Neodiprion lecontei: one gene and its partners. The protein of the gene in region 3 purifies or fractionates together with the protein of the main gene of each other region. This does not show direct contact. Links are inferred from orthologs where the notes say so. Each region holds a gene or a part of one and is shown on either strand. Other genes may lie near its edges. The genes, in order: lipoamide acyltransferase component of branched-chain alpha-keto acid dehydrogenase complex, mitochondrial; sequestosome-1; histone deacetylase 6; mitochondrial import inner membrane translocase subunit TIM50-C.

Region 1 (6,150 bases), on a different chromosome or scaffold from region 3:
GTTATTAGCGACCGCGATGGGCTTGGCAAGCACCCTCACGGGAAACTTGCCTAACAGCGTTGAGACGGCGCCATCGCCGAAGGTGGTGCACGCTACAATTTACCTCTTTTTTGCGCTCTCAGGCCTCGTCGATGTTCTCACTTTCTACTTTCCCCACGTCGTGAGCGACGGTCTGGCCAAAATGGCGCTTGCCCAGGCCTTCTTTATCGAGGGATTTTTATTTTTGTGGACCAGCCAGTCCAATAACTCTGCGATAGTCTTGGCTAGGATCGTCTGGACCAGCTCCTTTGCCGTCGTTCTCGAGTTGGTCTGGCCCGAGATGAAGCTCCTCAGGGCAGCTTCCACTCTGCTTCACGGTAGCTGGCTCGCTCACATGGTCAGAACCAGGGTGGAATGCAATTTTGCCACACTTGTGGAATGTAATCTTGAATCTCTGAAAATCGAGACTCTAGCTCTTTCCTTCTCCTGGCACTTTGCAGCTTCATTTATTGTCACACTCTGCGTAGTCGCGGTCACAAGAAGTTGCGCGCCGAAACTGAGGCCTGATGATCCTCCCGAAATCCCCATCTATGATTACTGCCATGACGTAGATCAGAGAGTTTAGGGCCAAATTTGTTCAGCTTGTGATACATGAAAAAGCCAGGTCGCCTTGATAGATCCCAACTTCTGATCTCTGATCACAGTAACACGATTTATTAGCTATTTTATAAATGTGCCTTGTTTATTTTTGCTCGCAACCTGTAAAGACGTCTCAAGTGGTTCATTTTGTTTTCTCATTAATTTTTTTATTTACTCAATTTTTACTCGTATATTGTAATTGATAATATTGTCGATTCACGTACCAATTTTATTTAGCTATATCGATCGTCTTTACAGCAACTCGCTTTTAGTATCTAATACTTATTGCCACATGATCAAGTTGTTCTCGTTATTAACGTGCCTAAGGTAAACAATGTTTTTATACAATAAATTTGTATATAATATTTTTTGTGATATTACTGTAACATACAATGAAAAAGTGTTATTATTCAACCAGTCGCCAATTGCCAGTGCCTCACATGATATATGTAATCATGATGTATTTTAATACCGTGTAATTGTAATATTGTATAGTCTTATATGCATATAAGCGTTGTTAAATCTTGTACACTGTTATCCAGATCTTGAACTTCGAGATCTGCTCTTCCAAAAATATTGTACATCTACATGTACATACATGTTTATGTGAATGTTCTTTACAACGATCGAAATATTTTGCCTATATGAAATTTGTAAGTCAACACTTTCGAATAAATTTAAAAAACTGATATTTGAATGTCGATTTTGTTTTTTCTACCATAAGAGTTGTAGTATTATAAAGTACAAAAACAATCAGACCTGAGAAATCTCCCAGCAGTGATCCTGCCGTACAGTTGTTCGAAATTTAAAAGTCTACCTCGCGCTAATTTCGTCATCATTATCAGTTCATTACCAACAGCGCGGGATTCTCCAAGTAGTATTTCCAGAGGTTTGAGAATTTAGCTATCGTCGCACCGTCGACCACCCGATGGTCTGCGGCCCAACTAACCGACAGTATCTGGGCTGCGACTACCTTATCATCGGCGTCGAAACGAGGCAGTTTTTGTGTTCTTCCCACCGCACCGATTACTATTTGCGGTGGTAATATCACAGGCTTTGTGTACGTCCCGCCGACCTGTGTGCAACGATTAATAAAATTGACGATTTTCACTACTCTTCATCTCTGTGTTCTACATTTTTTAAACACTACTTACCACTCCGATGTTGGACAAGGTGAATGTGCCACCCGCCAAGTCGCTCGGTGGTATGGCTGTCCTTTTTCCGAGTTCCTGGAGCCTGTTGAGTTCCTTAGCGATGGTCACGACGTCGAGATTCTGAACGTTCTTTACGTTGGGCACGACCAGACCCTCCGGAGTATCCATGGCCACGCATATGTTGTGCCACGGTAGTACTTCGACGGTTTGAGTATCTTCGTTCAGCCTGGCATTGAGTTCGGGAAACTTTTCAAGAGCCTTTGATATCGCCTTTATGAAGAATGGCATGTAGGTCAGAGCAATCCCCCGTTCCTTCATGGCGGCTTTGACCTCATCCCTTAACTTGACGAGTTTCGTCACGTCGCATTCGTCGCTGTAAACGAAGTGCGGGATGCTCTGAAATGAAATTCTTTACAATCTGTGCAATGAATTGTTCAACAAATGTGTCCTAAGAGTCCTTAAGATTTCGACTCTGGGTAGATTTTGGCACGCGGTAGGACTCACCAGAGAGCGTGTCATCGTTGTCCACATGTGTTTCGCGTATCCTTTGAGGGCAACGGTTTTAACCTCTCCTTGGACTCGATTCGTTTTATCAGGCTGCCTTTGCGGCTTGGTTGATTCCTCGATGTCACTGTCAGACGTCTCGTTGTCATCGTATGAAAGAAGGTCCTCCTTTAGTATTCTGCCATTTTTACCCGTTCCGACGACGTCTTTCAATCGAATACCCTTCTCCATGGCTATTCTCCTGACAGCAGGAGTGGTGAGAACTTTTCCGATCAGGGATTCCCGGGAGGCCTCACTCCCCCGCTGATGTTCAGTGTTGAGGCTTGTTTTCTCCTGGGGGGATATTTCAGTTGTCCCCGAAACTTCTTCGCTCCCATGTTCCCCCTCGTCATCCAGCTCTATGTCGACCAGCGGTTGTCCGACTAAAGCGATTTCGTCTACCTTAAATCGGAGGGCTTTTATCATCCCGTCGTATCGGCTGGTTATAGTGACCGAAGCCTTGTCGCTTTGTACTTCGCAGACTTCGTCGAATTGGCTCACTTTGTCTCCAGGTTTGACGAACCTGAGGTAAAGAAATAGTCAACCATTTGTCACCCTGTCTGATACTGTCGTTCGACACTTTCAATGCGGGAATGTTACAGGCTGTCTCAATTTGTTTCGTGTAACACAAACATGGGAGATGATTGAAGTCGCTCACCATTCTTTGACCGTGACCTCACGAATTCCTTCCCCAATGTCGGACAATTTGAACGGCACTACGCGACCCTGAAGCGAAACCGAGGTCGATACGGATCTGAGAACAGCCTCGAGTTTGATGTTCTTAGGCTGAAAAAGAGCAAAAAATTTACGAATCCGATATACCGATTAAAGCGGTTCGAGATAAGGAAAGTAACGGTACGATTGATCACTGATAAGCAATAATACGTGCACCATTTACCGGTAGAACCAATCTACTAGTAGCTAGATGACGAACGAAGAACGTCATTGCGATGTTGCAACGAGTTGACCGCACAGTTCTGCAGTTACTGGCAATCAGAGCGATATTCATACCGCGTTAAGCGTTGAGCTGATTATACGTCGATACCGAAACAAAGTGACGAGCGTTCTCCGTTTGCCCGCCTTACCGTACAAGTAATGGCCGCGCTTCTTACGGAATAGCATTTAATCACGAACGTCAGATTCATGCTCGGTGCGATTAATTCTTACGTAACTTACTCGGTTGAGAAACAACAACTGATAACAGCACTGCGAAATCAAACATAACCGAGTCGCGCATCGTCTTATACATCTCAGGTACGTATTTCTTCATTTTGTAAAAATCTGGGTGGTTTGTCGCGTGAAGATAATTGCAGCTTCAGGAATCCCCCCCCCCCCCCCCTTCCCCCGTCAGTTTGAATTCTTCAATCATCTTGTAATATCTTGGATAAATGAGGTGGACAACGATATCTGTTGTGTTTTGCTTTATTCCTTTTATTTCACCAACTGGTTCGTACAGCGGTTACTTAACACCTCGGATACCGAGTACATACTGGCGTGTCTATATCGACACGCTTGCTCGAACACATACACACGTGTCTACGCTTACCCATATTCCCCACATACATTGCCTGTATTCCATACTACTACACTCTCTCTGACTAGAAAAAAAAAAAATGTTTTAATCGTTGTCTTATTTTTCTGTGTGATTTCGGATTCGCTCTGACCGCCGTGTCATTAATGGTATTGCATCAACATCTGCACTTTGTTTGACACATTCTTCTATTGACAGTTTCATCTGGTTGCTATGCCGTTTCCATACTATATTAGGTGAAATTTCTACAAGGTAAGTTACCCCTGATACTGATTCTTTTAAAACTTTGGCTTTTACCCATGATGAATGCGTCCCCCGATAATCTGTAACCATGACTATATCTCCTACTTTGAAATGTGAGCGGTTTCTTCCGATATAATTTTTTTTTTTTTTTGCCTCGAATGCGTTTCATCAACCGTTTCCTGTACATAATGCGGGCATAAAAGCGAGAAACAATTCCGTAATTCACGGTTAAGAAATAACTTTGTCGGAGACTGATTTGTTGTCGTTTGCGGGGTCGACCTGTAATCATGTAGGAATTGCTGTGTGGCATCCTCTAAATTCATGTTGTTCATCATCATACATTTAATTTTTCGTTTGTATGTGTCTACAAAATTTTCGGCCGCGCCGTTTGTCGCTGGGTGGTGTGGCGGAATCCTACTGTAGCGTATACCGTGCTTTTTCGTGAATTCTTTAAATTTATAACCACGAAATGATTGGAAATTGCCTGTAACTAAATTTATCGGGTACCCGTGTCGAGAAAACAAGTCGGAAAAGTTTTTGATTGTAGCCGTTTCGGTCATATTATTCATAATGAAAGCTTCAGGCCATTTTGAATGGCTATCGATTACCATTAATACCATTTTGTCATTGATTGGTGCAAGAAAATCTGCGTGTATTCGGTGCCATGGCGTAGTTGGCCATCCCCATGAAGTTAACGGTATTTTCATCGGTTTCTTATTTGTTTTTAAGCAGGGTAAACAGGATTTTGTTATCTGATCAATATCATCGTCGATGTTTGGCCACCAAACATACCCACGGGCTAACGCTTTCGTTTTACGTATTCCAAAGTGGCTACAGTGTAATTCTTTTAAAACTAAAGTGCGTAATTTATTCGGTATAATTACTCTGTGGCCCCATAATAAACAATTATTTTCCACCGCTAACGCGTCTTTTTTGCGCCAATACACTTTTATTTCTGTTTCCTTTGGTTCCCTTTCAGGCCATCCATTCAAACAAAATGTTAAAATTTTGCACAGCACTTTATCCTCGCGCGTCGCTTTTTGGACTTGCTTCCAATCCAATGTCGCGAAATCGAATGTTATGATATTGTTCAAAAAGGTATCTGGCATGTCTTGTATAACTGCGAATCTCTTATCATTTTTATCATCGTCACTTGGTATGGAAAGCCTGCTCAGCCAATCTGCATAATTATCTTTTCCTTTTGTGTGCGTAATTTTGTAATTGAATGCAGCTAAAAATGCCGCCCATCTCTGTAACTGCGTTGTGGCTATGGTTGGAATTGATTTTTCCGGATGCAATATGCGGACTAGCGTGGCATTGTCTGTTTGTAGGGTGAAAAGGGAACCAAATAGAAATTCATAGAATGATTTTATACCAAATGTAATTGCAAGCCCTTCTTTGTCCAATTGAGAATAACTGCATTCATGAGTTTTTAGTAATCGGCTTGCATATTGAACCGGGCGATCGTAGTTGTTCTCATCTTTGTGAGCCATTATTGCTGAAACGCCGTAAGGTAACGCATCGCATGTTAGCACAATGGGTTTCTTCGGGTCAAAGTGAACTTAAATTTTATCCGATGTAAGTTCTTTTTTTATATTTTGGAATGCTACCTCGCATTCCTTGGACCATTGAAACTTACTATTTTTGTCCAAATTATTATATAACGGTTTCAATCTTGTAGCTAAGTGCGACAAAAATCTGCCATAATAATTTATAGACCCCGAAAAGCTCCGCAATTGTGCCACATCCAATGGTCTCGGCTCTTCGCGTACACATTTTATATTTTTTTCCATTGGTTGTATGCCTTCTTCGTTGATGCGATATCCTAGATACTCTATATCTGTTTGGAAAATTTACATTTATTGAAGTTAATCTTAAGTCCTGCTTCATTTAATCTTTTAAATGCTTCGTACAAATTATTGCAGTGATCTATTGTTGTTTTAGCCGTAACAATGATGTCGTCTATCAATACTGGGACGTTCGGGATTCCTATGAGGAGCGTGGAAATTGCTCTTTGAAATGACCCTGGCCCTGTAGCAATGCCATACCATAATCTTAAGC
Region 2 (5,813 bases), on a different chromosome or scaffold from region 3:
TAAGATCCATGCAGCTGGAAACTATTTTAAAAATCGCAATGCACGTTATTGATCTTTATTTCTAGCCCCAAATTGGTTCAGACATCCAAAAGAAGTGGCCAATTCGACTACCAGAGAAGGCTATGTCGACTTACCAATAGATGCTGCTGCTTGGCTAATACATTTCAAGAATCAGAATTCCCAACTTTTGGAACAGCTCAAGGTACGTATCGACGTGCAATTAGTTTTGATCGGGAACTTAATGCAACGAAACTTGTACCAAATTTTTAGCTCACTACCGACAAGGAGTACACGTGGAGTTTACGAGAATCAACACCTCGTGGAGTACCCTTGATGCAGCTGATTGATCTGGGAATCAATCGGGTGAGGTATGCTTCGGAAATAATAATCGCCCTTACCTCAGAGCTGAAGGAAGCCAGTATTGCGGGAAAATGTCAAACGCTAGTGATGATCGATGGCTACAATATATTCTTTACGGACCGCACAAGAGTATTCACTGATGCTAAAGCAATGGTGCTACCTGACAAAGTATCACTCACTATTGCCGCATTGGAAATGACGAAATACGATTGGTGCAACGGAGCTGTTGTCGTGAGCGTGGATCAATTAGCTGTCGGGGTAAATTAGCGAACATTTTACCCGTTTTTTGATCATCTGAATACTAGATTCATGATAACTTATTTGGTCTTCATCTAGGGCAAAAAAGAATCTGATCTTCCAAGATTGCTACTTGGAAAAGCCGGCTTTGAGCATTTGGATCCCTTTATGCCAGTATCTGTGAACCCCTACACGGATTCCGAGTTTTATAATGTTATGGATTACTTCAAAGATAGACGGTGGGTCAGAAACTGCGATGACGAGGGATTACAAGAGTTGAAACTCTTATCTGCCAAAAATGGTTTCAAACTTATGAATTTATGCGCAGCTTTGTAAGATGGATATGTAATAATTGAAATAAAAGTTGTTTAGCTTAGAATAATTTTCGTAAATTAAGGTATTAAATTCATAGGAAAAGTAGGTTTATCGTGAAATCAAGTAAATAGTCAATTCAATGCTTTTTGCTTTGTTTATATTTTAGGAATCAGAAAACAAAGTCAATACAATCACCATTGCAGGAATTATTATCATTTCTCACAGTAAAACATGAGCAAACAAAAGGGAATGCTTTTTTTCGGTAGTTACGTACAATATAAACGGTAAAAGTAATAAAATTGCAGTAAAAACTATGCACATGATAGATATCAAACATATATCGTTAGTGAATTAGCAGTTTAGTCGTCAACAATTAACCACTACTTTCGTCATGTTTTTTTTACTGCTTGCTATTGCCGGGACGAACTGGTTGCAGAATATCCAGAGCCTTGCTAATGTCACCATTTTTGGAAGCCAGCAGCTGAGTAAGCCATCCGCCTTCATTTGTGAAACCCATCTGCATCATTGCAACCACAGCGCGTTGGATGTTTGGGTCGGGGTGATAAATTGGGATCGGAGCCTCGGCCTGTTGCGGCAATTTGGGATAAATTGGTTTCGTAGCTACGGTAGAAGCCAATATCGGAACTGGTGCAGAAGCTGTCGGAACAGTTGTTGACGGCTGAAAACAAACAATATAATAGAACACCGATCACTTTTCAATGCATGGAATCAAATTGCAATTTATTGTAAGAGAAATTTACCACTTTAGGTACGGCTCCAGTAGACAAACTGATGCTCGAAACTCCTTCAGTAACGTAAGAGACCGGGGTATCCTGTTGATTAAGCAGTGTCCACTCCTCGCTTTCCATGTTAGGTTTGTCGATAGGTGCGGAAGCATCGACAGTAGGCTGATGTACAGGGTTCTCAGAAGTCGATGCAGTATCAACTAGCTTCTTTCCTTCCCCAGGAAATTTGTGTGCCGAAGTACTAGGTGGGCTGTTCTCAGGTGGGGTTTTTGCGTTACCGCCAGCAGGAGCCTTCCCAGCTGCATTGGGAGCCTCGGCATGAACTTCAACGTCGATACTCAATGGGTTCAAAAAATTGGCTAGATTCTCTCCGACATTCTTAAAAAGCTCTGCCTGTCGATTGATCCTTCGCTTGTCCTCAGTTTCAGTCTTAGATTCTTCACCCACCTTCTGCCCAGGTTGTTCTTTCATTGGGCAGCTTCCTTCTGACGGAAGTTGAGCCCATTCGTTCAAGTAGGCAGTTACAGTGTCCAGCCAAGAAGGTCTATCCGCCTCCAGTCTCCCAGCGTGCGAGTTATGGGTAAACTTTACCCTCTTGTAGGGACACTTTGTCAAATCTGTATCTCTTGCAGTCCGCCCATTCTTTCTGGCTAACTTGTACATGAAGTGCGATAGTCGACGTCCAACGTGGGGGTTCCACTGCAACGGGACTGGACTGCGTATCATACAGTGCTCCGGATGAAGTCCCTTGGACTCGCAATCCGCGCACAGGTCATAGTTTGGGCATTGGATGCACTTGTAACGAAATCCATGGACATCCTTTTCACATCCGTCGCAAATTATGTCGATGTGAATGGCCTGTGGCTGCTCGGCGTCCGGCTGAGCATTCTCAGCTGGGTACTCGGAGTGCAGGACGACGTACAGTTTGCGAATGCTTTGCTCAGCAGTTTCGGATAGGGCAATTCTGAGCTCCTCGTCGCTGGATACGATGACGTTGTCACCGTCAGCGTCTGTGATTAGAAAGTTTGTGTCATTACTATAATTTTTCAAATTTACAATATACAGATTTTGGAATTGCGCAATAACGTTGACGATGATTACTCGCATTTTACGCGATTATCAGATTGATATTTCGTACCTTTCCAAGAGATGGTAAAACGCCGCGAGCGGAGTGCCGCGAAGACGGACTGCAGCTTCTCGTTCAGGTAGAGAAAATTCGTCACTACGTCCTTATCGATGCCGAATCTCCTAACTTCGGGCTTAGCGTCGATGGGGTCCTCCTCTTTGGACAAGAATACTTTGAAGCTGACCGTCTCAGACATCATTGTGGATGTTGAACTGATTGTGAACTCAGAATGTCAGAAGCTCTGGAATGTAGATTCGCGTGTTGTGTATTTTTCAACCTCGTAAACGCCTTGAATCGTTTACAAATCGCTTTGTTTTTTGAAGCGTGCACAGAAGCGTCGTCAGGCGATGAGAGTCTTCGAATGATGTGCGCAGTTGCCAAACGGTGATTTTTATACTCGACGCAATCCGCAAGCGGCCATTCGTCTCAACTGGCGCGCAGGTCGCGCGAATGGCGCCGTGCCACGACGTTCGAAATTCGAATTTAAAACACCGTGACACAGCTTTCGGGGATTACTTCGAGATGATGTAGCTTGAAGAAACTCGTCGCACAACTTCAACGAGAAATGTCATCATGTAAATTTCATCCGACGACTCGAAATTGTGGAAAATTCTACATTTGAAAAGTCGACATTTAAACATTCGAACCTCAAAATGGCGTCTTCGGCCTGCATGAGATGCAATTTTCGTGCGCAGCACGTCACTTTGTTGCCATTGTCATCATTATTCATCGTGACTCACTACCACGTGAGGTATACAACGACAAGTTATCAATATCTGGATACGTGGATTACTGGGTGAATAATGCGTACATTACGAATATTCAGATAGCCTAATTTGCAATCGGAATTACGCGATACGGATTCGAAAATCTAATCTTTCAATGTTTCCAACTTGACTCATACGGTGAAAAAATGTAGATATTCTGCACCGGTGGAAAAACATTAATTTTCGTTTGCATCCATTAATTTTAAGTACTGCGTTTAAGTTTATAATCAAATGAAATTTCGCTGAAATTTTTACCCATAGAACTGGCATTGGAATATACCAGAAGCATCTTGAAATTTCTTTTCTTGTGACTCACACCTGATAGAACATTAAATTTTTTCTTTCATGTTTTACGCCGTGCTTCCTATCTACATTTCGCTACAGGTTGCGTGAGGTTGCGTCAGTGTGAAGCCAAACTGGGTATCCAGCGGCATCGCATTACATGGCAGAATTGATGCCGAAAGTTGACGAGTTCACTCGCTCAAGCTTCACTAACAATGAATCATTTATACTAGAACATTCCCAACTTCTATGCCCTCGTGAAAATTTATCCTCTAAACTTTGTTGAGAGACGATGATAAAAGAATCTAAAAAGTTAGGTGATTCAAGATTTTCCAGAGTAGGTCACAGCAAATTAGAAAACAGAAAAGTAGTGGAATTATATCCAATTTCATCTGGTTAAAGGATTTCTTATTCAAAGAAACTAAACAATAGTTTTTCAAAGCAAAGTTTCTCCCGGTGTTGGTATTAATACGGGTATGATTAAATAGCCTATACGATATTCGAAAGGATGGAAATCCGCATGCGGATACAACATACGAATTTTGTTTAGGATAGTTGTAACGTACCTGAAACAGCAGGCAAATAAAATAATCTTATATCTACAGTTATTTGAACGCGTTTTACAATATAAATAGTCTTTGCAAAAGTTCAATAAAATATATGAAATATACACGCAGTTGGTGTATAATTTTGGTAAAGTTTACAACTTGTGCGTGGGAATAAATTATCGCCTCGACGACTACCTAGAATCTGGTCTCTGATAGTTTTCGTAAGATTCTCCAGAGACAAGATCAGCGGAGGATAATAGTATAATACGCGTTCTTATTATAAACGGAAACTTTTGCAAGTGTGTAAGTAACTAAACGCACGGTGAAAGCTGAAGCAAATACAATTTTCCTACGCTATCATGGCTTTGACTACTTATACGCGTATATGTAGCCACAGAATGCGACTTACATACATTCAGTAGTTGCTGAAGTTATTACGCAAGAAATTATTCTAGGCTTGCGCAACGCGGTTATGACATTGTTCGCAAGTATTAATTGCATTCTATTTGATTTCTATTTGAAATTTCGTATTATAGGCCACGTTACCGCGGAAGAATACAGACATTAATTAGTATAGGCCGAAACATCGTTCGTAACATCGAACGATTATCACCCTAGCAATTTTATTTATTTCGAGACAGCACATTGTTATTAAATACTCGCATATTCACACGCTGATTTAAAACTCGCACAGGTATGATACCACATATATAATGTATGAGAAAATACGTTATACCGACAGCGATCTATACAGCTAATAAGCAGAGTAGTAAAACGCGAAGATCTCAGCGGCGGATAAGAAGTGCTGCAGGATTATTTATTAACAGCTGGTGGTGGCACGATGCTATCCTGCACTATTACCGTCGGCACTGATATTAGGTATTAGTTATTGCTGCGGCGCCAGTCGATTCCAGACCTGCAAAAAGAAATGCGGACCGTTACTCCGACCGCCAAAATCCTCCTCATCTCCCTTTTGGCCGCCTCATCGATCGGCGATATCCCCAAAGTACCGAATTATTTCAGCCTGGTAACCCAGGTGCATACTTACTTCGGTACTTCCTGCGTATTTTTGGTCCGCAGTAGAAACGACAGTAAGTTTGATTATAATTGAATGAGAATTTAATCAAGAATCACATCATCGAGTTTCATTGATCCGCTTTTCCTTAGCTTTGAACAACGTGTATCGCGAAGGTGAGATTGTGCGAAAATTTTCTCACGAAGGAATCCTATCTTTGACGGTGGAGTTTTTGCGACTCAATGAAACGCTGCAATTTTACTCGAAACGCGTTATCCGAGCGCTGATTGTCGTGCACTTGAGGACGCGCGAACTCGTGGCTGAATTTTCAAAAATCACTGAGAATTTCGAAATGACCTCACCCTGCTGGCTCCTGATACTCAGTGACAAGATTTTCCTCGAACATTATCCCCCGGC
Region 3 (5,783 bases):
TTCCCCTTTTTTCTCTCCAACGTAATCGTAATTTGATTCCCTAAGATTTGGCCAAAACTCGGCATGTTCGTATCGATGGATGGAGAAGTAAACAACTCTGGAACAAAATGGTGTCACATGTGTCACAATAAAATTCAAACTTGATGAGCCATTGTAGAGTAAAATCTAACGAATCTAGTTGATTTTTTTCCATAAGAATCACCAATCAATGGAAAACTGAAAAATATCAATTTTCATTTTGACAATTTTCTCAAGGATTAATTGGTTTTACTGTCCAAATCAAAAGTTCGGAAAATAGCAAAAGCCGTTTGAAAAATCTCCAGTAATATAATTATCTCCAGATTGGGAAAAAATGTATTTGTATAAGTACACCACGGCAAATGTTCGACAACAATTACATTTAAATGTTATATATAACTGCGTTATAATGTAAATTTTTTAAAAGATTTATCATACAATTTGAGGGAATCTGGTCGGTGAATAGAATAAAATCAGAAACATTAGAATTAAAACAGGAACACCAGTCTTCAACAATCTAAAATGCTCGAATTTTAAATCCTTCTCTCAAATTCTTCATATCTTAGCTTGTATCATACAAATATACTTAGATTCATTTCTATTATATATTACGGATGTTATTTCGTTCGTATTCACCAGCATTAATAGAAATGACATTGTGAGAGATTTCTTAATCGGTTTCTTCTCTTTTCTTAATTTTTGGTGAAAACAGTGAAGCCAATTCACACTAAAGATCATCTACCATGCAATTACGCGCTTACCTCGGATCATTGTAAAACATTTGTTGGGTCGCTTGTCCGTGATGAACATCCCAGTCAACGATTAATATTCTGCTTGCCAAATTATCATTGAGCATTTTCTGTGCAGCAATAGCTACGTTGTTGAAGTAACAGTAGCCACAATATTCAGCCTTCATTGCATGATGACCTGGCGGCCTAAGAGCCGAGAATTGTGTATCAGAAATATAGTAAATAGTGACCAAGAGAAGTACTAGGACAATGAATAATCACCTGATTATAGCCATCCCGTTTTGTACTTTTTTTTTACATATGCTTTCCAGTAAAATTATCGTTGAGCCAGTAGCCAGCAGCGATAATCTATAAGTCGACTGTAGGAAAGAGAGTCGTTATCAATACAGTATACTGAAAAGAATTGTTGCATATCCAAATTTAATCAGCAGACTTTGCAAATCCACAAATTTGCTACTAAATTATTGAATAACAATCAAAATTATATATTTTCTGTTATTTCTGCAACCAACTCACAGGATGAATGTAAATAGAGTCATATTTTGAAGCCAACTTTTCAAGATTGTCCTCGTCTTTGCATTCTGCAGTTTCTTTCAGCACATCAATATGCTGCTGTGTGTGTTTGAGTAATATTTCTTTATGAGTGGCTTCACGCGCTTCTATAACCCTGCAGCGACTGATCAAGCCCAAGTCTTTGCATCTTTCCAGAATCCTTGTGAACCTCTCAGGGCATTCCGGATATGTCGAATCCCAAAGACACCGGTGTTCTTCCATCGACCTATCCCAAACAAGACCTGTTTCGCCACGCGTTATTGTCTGGGCGTCCATGGCCTTCTGGTAAATGTCTCTGAGGATAGTGTTTCCAGATTTTTTCGGGTGGACAAGCTTTCGCTCTGCTGCCTCTCGCTTTGCTGCCGCCAACGCCGCCGAAGGCCTGGCCTTGAGTAATGAAAATATAAGGAAAATAATTTCAATTTGCAAATTATCATTAAATTAATTATATTGTCACCTGTTCTTCACCACTCTCAGACATTTTATGAATTTATTGATAAATTGCTTCAGAATACAGAGTATTTATCAATGGTTAAAACGGACTTTGACTGTAAGTGCAGTGGAACTGATGAAACTATTATCATTGTATTTGCTTTTCAAACTACAGCGACACAGATAGATAATGAGATATACTGCATGACATTGGCAAGATTGGCAGGGCTATCTGAATACTTTTGAGATAAGATACTTCATTAAACCATTTATTTGAACTTTTGTCATAAATATGAGAACCCAGGAAATCTTCTATTTCAAAAAGTGTAAACAGCTTTATATGATAAACACAAATAAAGTAAGTACAAAATCATCTCTAGATAATGTGATTGAAGTTTGCATCTTTGAACTGCAGTGCATTCCGATATATCTAATGAACAAGTAAACAGTCTACCTCGAATGTCGAGATATTGCTATTGATAACGTTAATACTTTCTCAACATTGCAGATATTTATACATCTCAACTTCTGTGTGTGATAATTTCACCAGTAAATAAAAAGGTATGCAACAGGTTTCTTCATCCAAGTATCACTTGCAAAACCATAATCTTATACTCACACTCATCGATTTGGCTGATTTTTTACCGCCAACATTTTTCACTGTTGTGGTCATGTTGCTTTTTGCAACTTTTCTGTTACTTCTTCTGGTCCCTTCTATCACCTGGATCAGATGTATTTCACTCTCTGCCAATTGTCTAGCGGCAGTAAATAGGCTGTTCCCACTGGCATTTGTGTCTGTCTGAATGGATGAGTACAAATGGCATGATTGTAAAATAAATATATGAAGCGGTAAGGATAAATGACAGGTTTTAAATTGATGATAATTTACAGGAATACCAAATCTGGATGCTAACTGTATACAACCGTAGGTAATTAGTGGGTGGGTGGGGAGAAAAACGAACTGAATTAATAATCTTCTCTTATCGAATGTCGATATTCATATATGGCAAAGCGTATGAGGATTCCTTTTATGGTTATATGTGTGGGATGACGGAATGAATAAATACACATATGTCTCACCATCGGTACGTTCGTTGAGTGAATAGTATAACCTCGAAACTTTCACAATCTCCTGATTTGATTGTCCTGAATTTACAGATTCGTCATATGATATTGGTGATCATTTTTCAAATGAATCGGAGAACTTTTTCATCACATTCATCGATGAATTTCAATCAAGATTAATGTTTGATCGTTGATGAATGGAAAGGAAAATTATCTACATCCCTAACATAACCCTCTCTCCCCCCCTGAATAAGAGCTTCTCATCGCCAGAGTATGGGATTGCTCATCGTAAATCGCCACTTTGTTGCACGAAAATTGAGGCTACGCCCGTGTATTATTTGAAACTGTTTTTTCCGGAAAATACTACAATTTTATTAGTTTCTGCCGTCATATCCGTCGTTGATTATTTAAGTTTGATTCTACTACTGTGATTAATCGTTACAGTTAGATCGAACAGTGCCAGCAGGATACCATACAAAGGGATGTAGACCAACCAATAGAAAAAATGAAAATCTAATTCGTGACATGCAATGTAACTGAAACCGAAAACCAATTGGGCCACGATTTTTTTAATTTGATGGATTTTTCAGTTTCTCTTGGACAAAGATTCTTCGATCGAGTCGATCCAGCGTGCATTTTGAAAATTTTTGAATTCTATACAACTCATCTCATTACAGAGTACAGAGAGAAACCGAGTACACGGATTGTTTCATGGTTTTCATCCTAGAAGCAGTGTTGCCAACACTCTGAATTCTCTCTCACTAAGGCGACCAATCAATTCCAGTGAAAAACCACTAAACTTGCCCCTGGTGGACTGTATTAAAAATTTTATTTCAATTTAGCGCGCGAATATTTGCCTAAAAATAATTATCTTATTTGTATGTATTAAATGAACATCTATAATAGAATTTGGATCTAATTATTACTTTATAATACATGGTAATATAACATTAGCATTGGACGTCAATGTACCGCTAATAAAATCGAATAAAAAAAAAAAACAAATAAACTTTACTGTTATTAGACAATGAATATTTATTATTGATATAAACTGTAACATCCATAGAAAAAAAAGGAAAAAAGATTTACTTTTCATGCTGTCATCTGATGATTAAGGAATTAAAACGTGTAAAAACTGATGACCAACCATATCACTGACAAAATCAACTAACTACTAAAAGTGAATTTTTTCTACCGCCCCAGAATAAAAACAACCAGATTTAGTGGAAAAACTACTGAGTTGGTAACACTGCCTAGAAGTGAAAAACTGAAAAAACCGGTTTTCCTGTTCTCAAACTTTGTTTAAACAAAAACAACAAGAAACTGAAAGTGGCAAACGCAACACGTAATTTCTTATCACGGGTTTTTGCCTACAGAAATGAGTAGCTAACGGTCGAATGATTAACGCGCATGCGCTGAAATGCTAGAGACCATATTCTATAGTAAAAAGCCTACTGATATATATATATACATATATATCAGTGGTAAAAACAGTTTAGTCAGGTTAACCAACCATCATAAGTTTAGATGGCAGGTCTCCGTGAGGTATGTAACCTCAATAACTTTGACAGTTATCGATGACAGTTGCTGAAGATCGAATGGACAGATTGTGGATGTTTTCATTTGAACAATTAATGAATAATCGGGGTATCACTCAAGTTGAGCACAACCTACCACCGACAGCTGTCAAAATTTTTGAGGTTACATTGCCTTCGGTCATTGCGGTGTCCCATCATCTAAACTTAAGACGCTTTGTCAACCTGACAAGACAACTACTTTTAAATCTAGAATTTTAACGCATGTGCGTTAGACCATTCGACCGTATCATTTCATACTCTGTAGCACAGTTTCTATATGTATATAGAAATATATATGTATATAGAAATCAGTGCAGCTAGCGCTACTCGGTAAATTGTGATCTAAAGTTTCTTCTTACCGACGGAGTCCTGTAAGCAGGAAGTCTAATGAATAGGATATTCTTACTCAACAGGTACACATATTACATACATACACTCTACCAGGATAGTTTTGATCGAGTCCCTGCACAGAATAACCCGGCGTACACTAATAAACCCTTCAAACTTATGAGAAATATGAGCTGCACTACAAGGAAATTTCTTAAATGTTACACAAATAATTGATAAATATTATTTCCAAACTTGAATATGCAATAGTACATACATACTTATATATTCACATGATTCACGATTAGAAATGTAAATAGCAGGTAAGCCATTACATTCGTTTATCCACTTATTTGTTTATTAATTCCATTATTTGCTTACTTTTCATCTCTGATCTCTAATCACTGACTTCAGTTACTGCTTCTTATTTTTACTGTTATTATCATTCACAGTCCTAAGTTGAGAAAATGCTGATGTTGATTCGAAACAACGTTGTTACTGGATTGAGAAGAAAGTATCGAGATGTTAGCACATGGTCCTCGTTAGCAACGGCATTCAACACAAAGTCGGTTGATGTGATTGATTCTTTAGTGTCGCGAAAAGAAACGGTAATTTCTGCATAACAGAACTTTTTTGACCATTTCTACAGTGTGGCACATTTATCTCATTATTTCCAGGGTCTATTTGGGATTCCTGAACTCGACGATGCCGAAGGATTTGATCTACTCAAAAGAAGAGCCATGGCTCAAACAGACGAACTAATTGAAGAAGCTACGAGCCAAACAAGAAGCCGAAAAATTGTAGAAATTTTTGACGAGCTTTCTGATTCACTTTGCAAGGTTGCAGACTTAGCAGAATTTGTCAGAATTGCTCATCCTGATAGGAAATTTTCAGATGCAGCCGAAGATGCTTGTATCACGATAAGTGGCGTCGTCGAAAAGTAAACATTATCCACTTGTGTGTTGAGAGTAATGAAGTTCCAGAACTAATATGCGGTGAAATGATTCCACCCTGTTTTACTCATTCCCAACTCTACCTTCTTGTAGGCTGAACACCCATAAGG
Region 4 (6,850 bases), on a different chromosome or scaffold from region 3:
GTTCGCCTAGAAGGAAAAGACACTAAACAAGAGTCCGGGAGAATTCTGTTAGAGAATGGCATAAAACGGGGTAAGAAGAGAACCAAGATTATGAAATCAAGCAGAGATTCGCAAAGCTGTAAAAATTCTGTGATGGAAATACTAGTGCCAGCAGAAACTTGTCCTATGAGTCAAAACCTTTGGGTTGAATTAGAATCTATTTGCGATAAAATGGTCAAGCCTGAAGTACCAAATGCAAAAGAAAAACCGTTGTATTCGACCATTTTAAAATCAACAAGCAATGCTGTGCCATCTGAGCAGGGAAAATTGGATGAGGAAAAACCACATAGTGTCAAGTTCCCAAGCGAGGTAAGAAATTGATGGTTTGCGAGCATTTTATTTGTAATTTACACCTTGGGAAATCGTGTGAATTGATTCGTTAAGTAATTTGCTCTCCTTCTGAATGTTGTTTTCAATTTTGTATACAAAGGTGAGCGCCGAAGAAAAGGATAACTTGCGCGAGACAAAGCACGATGTCACCCCAAGTGAAAGTGATATTAATGTATTACAGAATGTCAAGATCATGAAAGAGCAGTGGAATGCTAACATTCGCCAGTCGGTTGTACAACATGATGTGGCTCCAGGATTCCAAGAATCTCCATTATGCGAAGAAATTTCAGAAGAGGTATACAAAGAAAAGCTGTTACAAAGCAATGAAAAAATTCCTTCATCGAACGGGTCTCTCAAACTCTGTCGAAAGGGTGAAAAATGTTCCAATGATTCTACTACATCAACTCAATCAAAGAAAAAAGTGGTATCTAATGACGAAAACAAAGATAATAACAAAAAACGCAAGAAGAAGCGCGGTAAAAAGTGGATAAAAACACAGAACAATTATGATACTGAAGATTTAAAAAAAGTTATGTATAACGAAAAAACTTTGCCGCCTCCGAAGATGAGGCCTACGAAAATTCAAAAAGATTCAAAAAAGCAAAACACCAATCAAAAGAGTAGTGGTCAGTTATCAGGCGATTGGCAACTACAAAGGTAACATGATTTACAAGAACTTACTCTAAATCGACCAGTATTTTGTATTCCTATAAATGTGTAAACTCGAAATTTACAGATCTCATGCTCGGGAGATGCATCGCGATGGTAATCATCGCTCTGAATGGTTCTTCGAACGTGCTTCTTCGCGTCAAGATGCTCGAGAAAAGGTTTTTGCGAAAGTTGGTTCTAAATGTTATGGACCAGACAAATGTCGATCGAATTCCAAAGAACGAATAGATGATGAAGAGTCTTACGATTACTGGGTCCAACCAAAGGAGACAAGAGATCGAAAGCATTGGGGTGGCCGTGCCGGTTTCACGGCAAAAAAGATGGTCAAGATGCTTCATCGAAAAAATATAATGCAAACGAAACACCATTGAGTTACGAAGTCTAAGAAAAAACTAAATGCATATAATACCTATTCTTTAATTCTTGTTCAAAAATTTGTACTTTAAAATCTATACTATATTTTATTCTACTAAGCGTTCAAACATATGGCTGTTATTATACAATAAGTAAGGAAACAAATACTTAGAGAAAAACCGTCTATACAGAGAAAAGAAAAAATTCCAGAAGCTCTCTTGGTGGTTAATATTTTCTCAGTTGAATTGTGCGATAAAATTAGTAATGATGCATTTATAAATTGTTTAAAAAATTTTGACTGTTTTTCGGTAGACCCTTCATTTTGAAATTCCTGAATGAATCATTATTATTTTAACGAAAAAGTTGATTTGTATTTCTGCAATTGTCCATTCAAAATTTAGGCATATTGGATACACTAGTCGGAGTAACTAATATTCGTTAATATCGAATCTTTTTTTAAAGAAGTGCTCAACTAAATGATCGCTAATTCAATAATATGGAAATGCCAATATACCTTATAAAATGCTCAGCATTACCTTTTGGCATCTACACAGAGATATGATGATGGTATTATCTATATTTATACAATATAACTTGAAATAAAAATTTATTATTGAATAATCATCTTGCACGAAAGAATATTCATATGGTATCGAGAAGTTATTATGGAAATACACCTATTCTGGTCATTCATTCCACCAAACCGTTAAGTGGAAGCAATTTTTCAACGTGAATGATCTTTCAAATTCAGGAGAAATCACTAAATCAGCTTGAATGAAATTTGGTTGGAAAATCTAATGTTCAGTAAAGAAGGGCTACATAATTTTGCGAACTTCTACGAACTCCGAAAATTGTAGCCACTGAGCCTTCGGAAAGTCGATTATTCCTGTAATTTCTGACAAAACTTTCGGAAGCTTCATTACTTCCCAATTGGAAAACACTCATCTTTTTTCCAACAGAAAAACAAAATTATGTTCATCCTGGTGATTTCGAAATTTGCAAATACATCGGTTTTCCACGTGTGTTTCGATATTTCGGCAGTTTGGGAATCTACCGATAAGTTAGTAGACTGTGCTTACCCGAAAAATCCCGGCATTTCTTCACAAAATATTTCAACCATCCAACTGATCAAAGTGTGGTACGTGATAAGCGATGGCATTCGCGGCTCGAGGATTACGAGTTTTCTGTAAAATATACAATAGCAACAGGTGCGGAACGTATTCAACGCTCCGTCAACCGATTAGAAAATTATCCGTTGTTCAGTCAGCACAAAAATTTTATTACAGCACCGATCGTGAGTACATTGCGCTAACGACATAACCTCAACCTTGCGAGACTTTGATAAACGAATTTAATACCGTAGAAAAAACCGTTGAAAACTCTATTTACTGTTCTCGTATCGGCGAATCTGCATTACTACAACTCTGCATTAAAGCTAATTTTAATATCACAATTATTTTCCGTATACTCTGTCAAAAATAAGCTCTGCAAATTAGCACGTGAGGAATTAAGCCTTTGGATACGTTTTCGTCATTCAAAAAAATGTAATTCAAATACAATGAGTGTTTTTTACAGCTGAGTGTCATCTTATTCTGAACCGCTTGGGAGGGAGGCTAACTTTAATCGTACAATACAATCAGTAAACAAACGTTAAATGTTTTCCTTGCAAAACAAAATATGTGAACTTTTTTTTTTTCAAAGTTTATCAAGAAATATCACAGCATTGAATTAATTTCTTAAAGTTATTTAAAGATAAGGTAAAAGCTTGCTTGTATTCAAAGTGTGTTACATTAGTGGGTTTATTTTATTCATGTTTCATTAGCAAACCGTCCTGGGATAGCTGGGAGTCTTACAAACATACAATCGACAGTTGATCAAAATTTAAAACCCGTGAGTGCAACAGGTGGTCAAAATGAAGAGTCGAGTCAAGATGCGGATCAGAAAAAACAAGAAGCCGAAGATAAAAAGCAGCGAGAACATTCGTGGAAAATGATGAAGTATAGCTTTGCATTCTTTGGAGTATCGATGGGTGTGATGGGCTCTTTCTTAATTTATGAATTAGCTAGACCCAATGTTGACGAACAAGGAAACATTATCGAAGATGAATTCAGTAATTTACCTTACTTCGAACAGTTGTACAAGAGACTACGTAGGGAACTAAACTACTACAAAAAAGTATGATATCAAGGCTTTTTTTTGTTAAATTCAATACCCCTGTTCTAATCAATCAACAACATCAAATCTGTTCATACAGCTTGTTCAAGAACCAAGTAGAGAGAAGTTACTACCAGATCCATTGAAATATCCTTATATGCAACCTCCATATACCTTGATTCTTGAATTGACAGATGTATTGGTTCACCCTGATTGGACGGTAAGCATTTACTGCGTTATTCACTATGACAATGTTAATAAAGTTCTGAATTACATTCTGTGACTACTATGTAGACCATGCAAAAGTCGAATCATGAAATACAATGTAGTTCCATTTAATTTGTCGTTGAATATACTCCAATTCAATAATTACAACCACTACTCATCATGAGATGATAATTCATACAACTTTCACTCTAACAAACTGGTCATTATTTTCTAACAGTACCAAACTGGTTGGAGATTTAAGAAACGTCCAGGAGTCGATCAGTTTTTGGAGGCTGTTGCACCACCTCAATTTGAAATTGTGATTTACACAGCCGAACAAGGAATGGTGAGTATTTTATACAGCATACTGTGCGTTTACTTTCTGAAATATTTCTTTACGTATGCAAAATTTCAATAAATTTCAGACTGTTTTCCCCATCTTGGATGCTTTAGACCCGCAAGGATATATTATGTACAGACTGGTGAGAGATGCAACGCGTTTTGTGGATGGGCACCACGTCAAGGATTTGGCTGCACTTAACAGGGATCTCAGTAAAGTGAGTTCAATACAATGTGTAAAGCATTGGAAAAAAAAAACACTTGGCAGGGATAAGAATTTGTTCCAAACTAGAATAATAATAGTAAATAAATAGTTGCTATAAAGAGGCATATTCCAAGTACCTGTTATGTTTCTTCATCTTGTATCGTTTAATTATTAACTATGATTTACATGCTTTGATTTTCTTAGGTAATCGTAGTCGATTGGAATAGCGAAAGTGTGAAACTCAATCCTGAAAATATACTGAAGCTTCCAAGGTGGAAAGGGAACGATGATGATACGACTTTGTATGACTTAGCTGCATTCCTCAAAAGTATGTTTAAATTAGAAATTTATTAAATGAATGCTAGATCACTTAACGATATTTCGAGATAGCTTACACGAAAATGAGTTACCTGCAAATCAGAAAGTTGAAATGCTGTAACGCAAAATTCACCTTTTTACAGTGATATCAGCAACAAATGTAGAAGATGTGAGGGATGTTCTTAATTACTACAAACAATTTGACAATCCATTAGAAGCTTTCAGAGAGAACCAACGAAAACTTTTGGTAAGTAGTCACTATTTATATAAAAATAATCAAATTGATTTTTATGATTATTTAAAAACATAGTCTACAGCAATAAATTTACGATAGATTGAACGAACGATTTACTTTTCTTTAGCTACAAATGGAGGAGGATGAACACAAGTCATTGAAGGACGACAACAAAGTGCTGATGTCGAAATGGAAACCATCATTTTTACGGAATCGTTAACGATTGAACGTAAAAGGTGGAAAAGTGCAATATTTTTTGCATTTACTGTCAGAACGAGTACGCATAAATCACATTTCATTATCGCCCGTGACTTTCTGGATCAGAAAACCAGTTTGAAAATGCTATAATGAATGAAAACTCACAGTTACTTATTGATATCCAATCATAAGTTGAATAATTTATTTAACCTGTTGTATTACTTAATACAACATATTTTGTAAATAAGAATATACAGTAATTGTAAACCATTTCAAAAATTTATTTTTTGACTTAACCTATGCTGTAACATTTACCAAAATTAATGCAGGCCTTCGAAGTTACCAGTTTCCTATTAATTATTTCTCACTGTTTTATCTCCATGCAAATTATGATATATGGATCACTGAAACTAACAGTTCTAAAAATATTAATAACAATGTTAACATTTCATCGCCATGGACTATCACTTGTGCTTCGATTTTAAGAATAAAAAAAGAAATTCCGATTCTCCGACTCGAACATAGGTACTCATTAAAAACCAGCAATGTAGTTTTTCTTTGTAGCCAATTTTTTCCGAGATTTTTTTGATTTGGGTACATCATAACAGGATTGCTCATTCTGAGTGTTATCAAGAGTATACTGGGGTGGTACATTTTGAGATACGCTAATCAATTCTTGAGAAAGAATTTCGTTTGATTCGTTTATTATCGATGTGTCTTCTTGGGACTGTGTTAGATTTTGTGACTGTGTCGTACTTTGAGAGGGAGTTTTCTTTTCCAACCAACTCAACACTTTTTGGTGCGGAGTTACAGTCAAGGGGGCAGAATCCTGTCGTATGTCCCACATTGCTAAAAGTTCTGGGGCGAAAATGTCAACGTAAGAATTTAATTCCTCCACTGACTGAAACCACTTCGGTTCATGACATCGTACTTTTGGTTCCTTCTGTTCCAAGCGACGATTTTTATTCCTCATTTCTGGTGAAAGATATCATTAGAAATTGAAGTAACTGATTCAATCTTGCTTGCAATAATAAATTTCGATTTAATCATTTTTCCAACTCACCATTGAATATATGTTCCATACTTGCTTTTTCTGAGATTACTAAGGGCTTCACAGTTTTACTCTGTGCTAAACATGCTTCTTCCCAAGCCTCTAATGCCAGTAGAGAATTTGTATTCACGTCTGAATCATTTCCTGAAATCTTCTCGTGCGTTATGCACTGGTAAAATATATCACCTATATCATTTGAGCCATATAAAATTATTAAATTTCTTTTGTTGAATTCACAAAAGTTACTAGTATGCGGTTACACGAAACTTATTGTACCTATTGAATTCTGAGTGAACAGAGTCACATCATTTCTATCGTTTAGATTCAACACAGTACCAGCATTGCAAAGTTCTAATCTGTTTCTCAGGTTCGGTTCTAGACATTTTCCTATGTCTTGGCATGCTTTCAAAGTTTCTGACGTACTTGGCGGCATGTATGGCAAAGCATATGAATGCATTTTTGTGTCGCTTGTCCAATTGTTAATAATTATTGAATTTTCCCCAGCCAACTGGCTAGATAAAGTGATAATCTCTTCACCATTTCTGTCAATAGATGATATCATTACGTATTCATATTAGTTATTTAAAAATAATGTTAACCACCGGAAGTTGGATGTCAAAATAGTTTTCCAATTTATAATAGCTTAAGTGTGGTGGGTAAAGCATATTTGTAGAGTAATAGTTTTATATTTTAGTATGTGATCTTGTAACCAAATATACGTACCTTTCTATAATCGAAGAAAAAACTGGAG

The links.
Region 1: the proteins of histone deacetylase 6 (region 3) and lipoamide acyltransferase component of branched-chain alpha-keto acid dehydrogenase complex, mitochondrial purify together in Homo sapiens (affinity purification with mass spectrometry; 3 studies listed by BioGRID and IntAct, with this or other methods). This does not show direct contact. The link is inferred for Neodiprion lecontei from reciprocal best matches to the Homo sapiens genes HDAC6 and DBT.
Region 2: the proteins of histone deacetylase 6 (region 3) and sequestosome-1 purify together in Homo sapiens (affinity purification with western blotting; 6 studies listed by BioGRID). This does not show direct contact. The link is inferred for Neodiprion lecontei from reciprocal best matches to the Homo sapiens genes HDAC6 and SQSTM1.
Region 4: the proteins of histone deacetylase 6 (region 3) and mitochondrial import inner membrane translocase subunit TIM50-C purify together in Homo sapiens (affinity purification with mass spectrometry; 3 studies listed by BioGRID and IntAct, counting the BioPlex papers as one, with this or other methods). This does not show direct contact. The link is inferred for Neodiprion lecontei from reciprocal best matches to the Homo sapiens genes HDAC6 and TIMM50.

What each region holds. Positions count from the first base shown.
Region 1 is NC_060264.1:33,776,422-33,782,571, forward strand, and holds lipoamide acyltransferase component of branched-chain alpha-keto acid dehydrogenase complex, mitochondrial, read right to left. Parts: upstream 3,457-6,150; 5' UTR 3,325-3,456; coding exon 3,214-3,324; exon of another isoform or gene 3,210-3,213; coding exon of another isoform or gene 3,207-3,209; intron 3,102-3,206; coding exon 2,974-3,101; intron 2,839-2,973; coding exon 2,277-2,838; intron 2,169-2,276; coding exon 1,773-2,168; intron 1,694-1,772; coding exon 1,460-1,693; 3' UTR 827-1,459; downstream 1-826. Other genes in the region: transmembrane protein 45B, read left to right, coding at 1-604; uncharacterized protein K02A2.6-like, read right to left, coding at 5,924-6,150. UniProt on the Homo sapiens protein: The branched-chain alpha-keto dehydrogenase complex catalyzes the overall conversion of alpha-keto acids to acyl-CoA and CO(2).
Region 2 is NC_060266.1:21,785,382-21,791,194, reverse strand, and holds sequestosome-1, read right to left. Parts: upstream 3,164-5,813; 5' UTR 2,984-3,163; coding exon 2,797-2,983; intron 2,669-2,796; coding exon 1,674-2,668; intron 1,592-1,673; coding exon 1,313-1,591; 3' UTR 1,053-1,312; downstream 1-1,052. Other genes in the region: 28S ribosomal protein S29, mitochondrial, read left to right, coding at 66-202, 271-618, 697-933; glutamate receptor ionotropic, kainate 2-like, read left to right, coding at 5,749-5,813. UniProt on the Homo sapiens protein: Molecular adapter required for selective macroautophagy (aggrephagy) by acting as a bridge between polyubiquitinated proteins and autophagosomes.
Region 3 is NC_060261.1:13,092,095-13,097,877, reverse strand, and holds the start of histone deacetylase 6, read right to left. Parts: upstream 3,482-5,783; 5' UTR 2,835-3,481; coding exon 2,832-2,834; intron 2,551-2,831; coding exon 2,371-2,550; intron 2,313-2,370; exon of another isoform or gene 2,180-2,312; intron 1,891-2,179; exon of another isoform or gene 1,801-1,890; coding exon of another isoform or gene 1,777-1,800; intron 1,707-1,776; coding exon 1,284-1,706; intron 1,127-1,283; coding exon 1,029-1,126; intron 954-1,028; coding exon 780-953; intron 98-779; coding exon 1-97. Other genes in the region: mitochondrial intermediate peptidase, read left to right, coding at 5,188-5,328, 5,398-5,660, 5,767-5,783.
Region 4 is NC_060265.1:20,614,206-20,621,055, forward strand, and holds mitochondrial import inner membrane translocase subunit TIM50-C, read left to right. Parts: upstream 1-2,411; 5' UTR 2,412-2,544; coding exon 2,545-2,686; intron 2,687-3,214; coding exon 3,215-3,567; intron 3,568-3,646; coding exon 3,647-3,766; intron 3,767-3,991; coding exon 3,992-4,099; intron 4,100-4,178; coding exon 4,179-4,310; intron 4,311-4,501; coding exon 4,502-4,625; intron 4,626-4,758; coding exon 4,759-4,862; intron 4,863-4,977; coding exon 4,978-5,070; 3' UTR 5,071-5,562; downstream 5,563-6,850. Other genes in the region: uncharacterized protein LOC107223414, read left to right, coding at 1-348, 470-1,026, 1,106-1,409; uncharacterized protein LOC107223411, read right to left, coding at 5,581-6,023, 6,112-6,285, 6,376-6,641, 6,823-6,850. UniProt on the Homo sapiens protein: Essential component of the TIM23 complex, a complex that mediates the translocation of transit peptide-containing proteins across the mitochondrial inner membrane. Has some phosphatase activity in vitro; however such activity may not be relevant in vivo.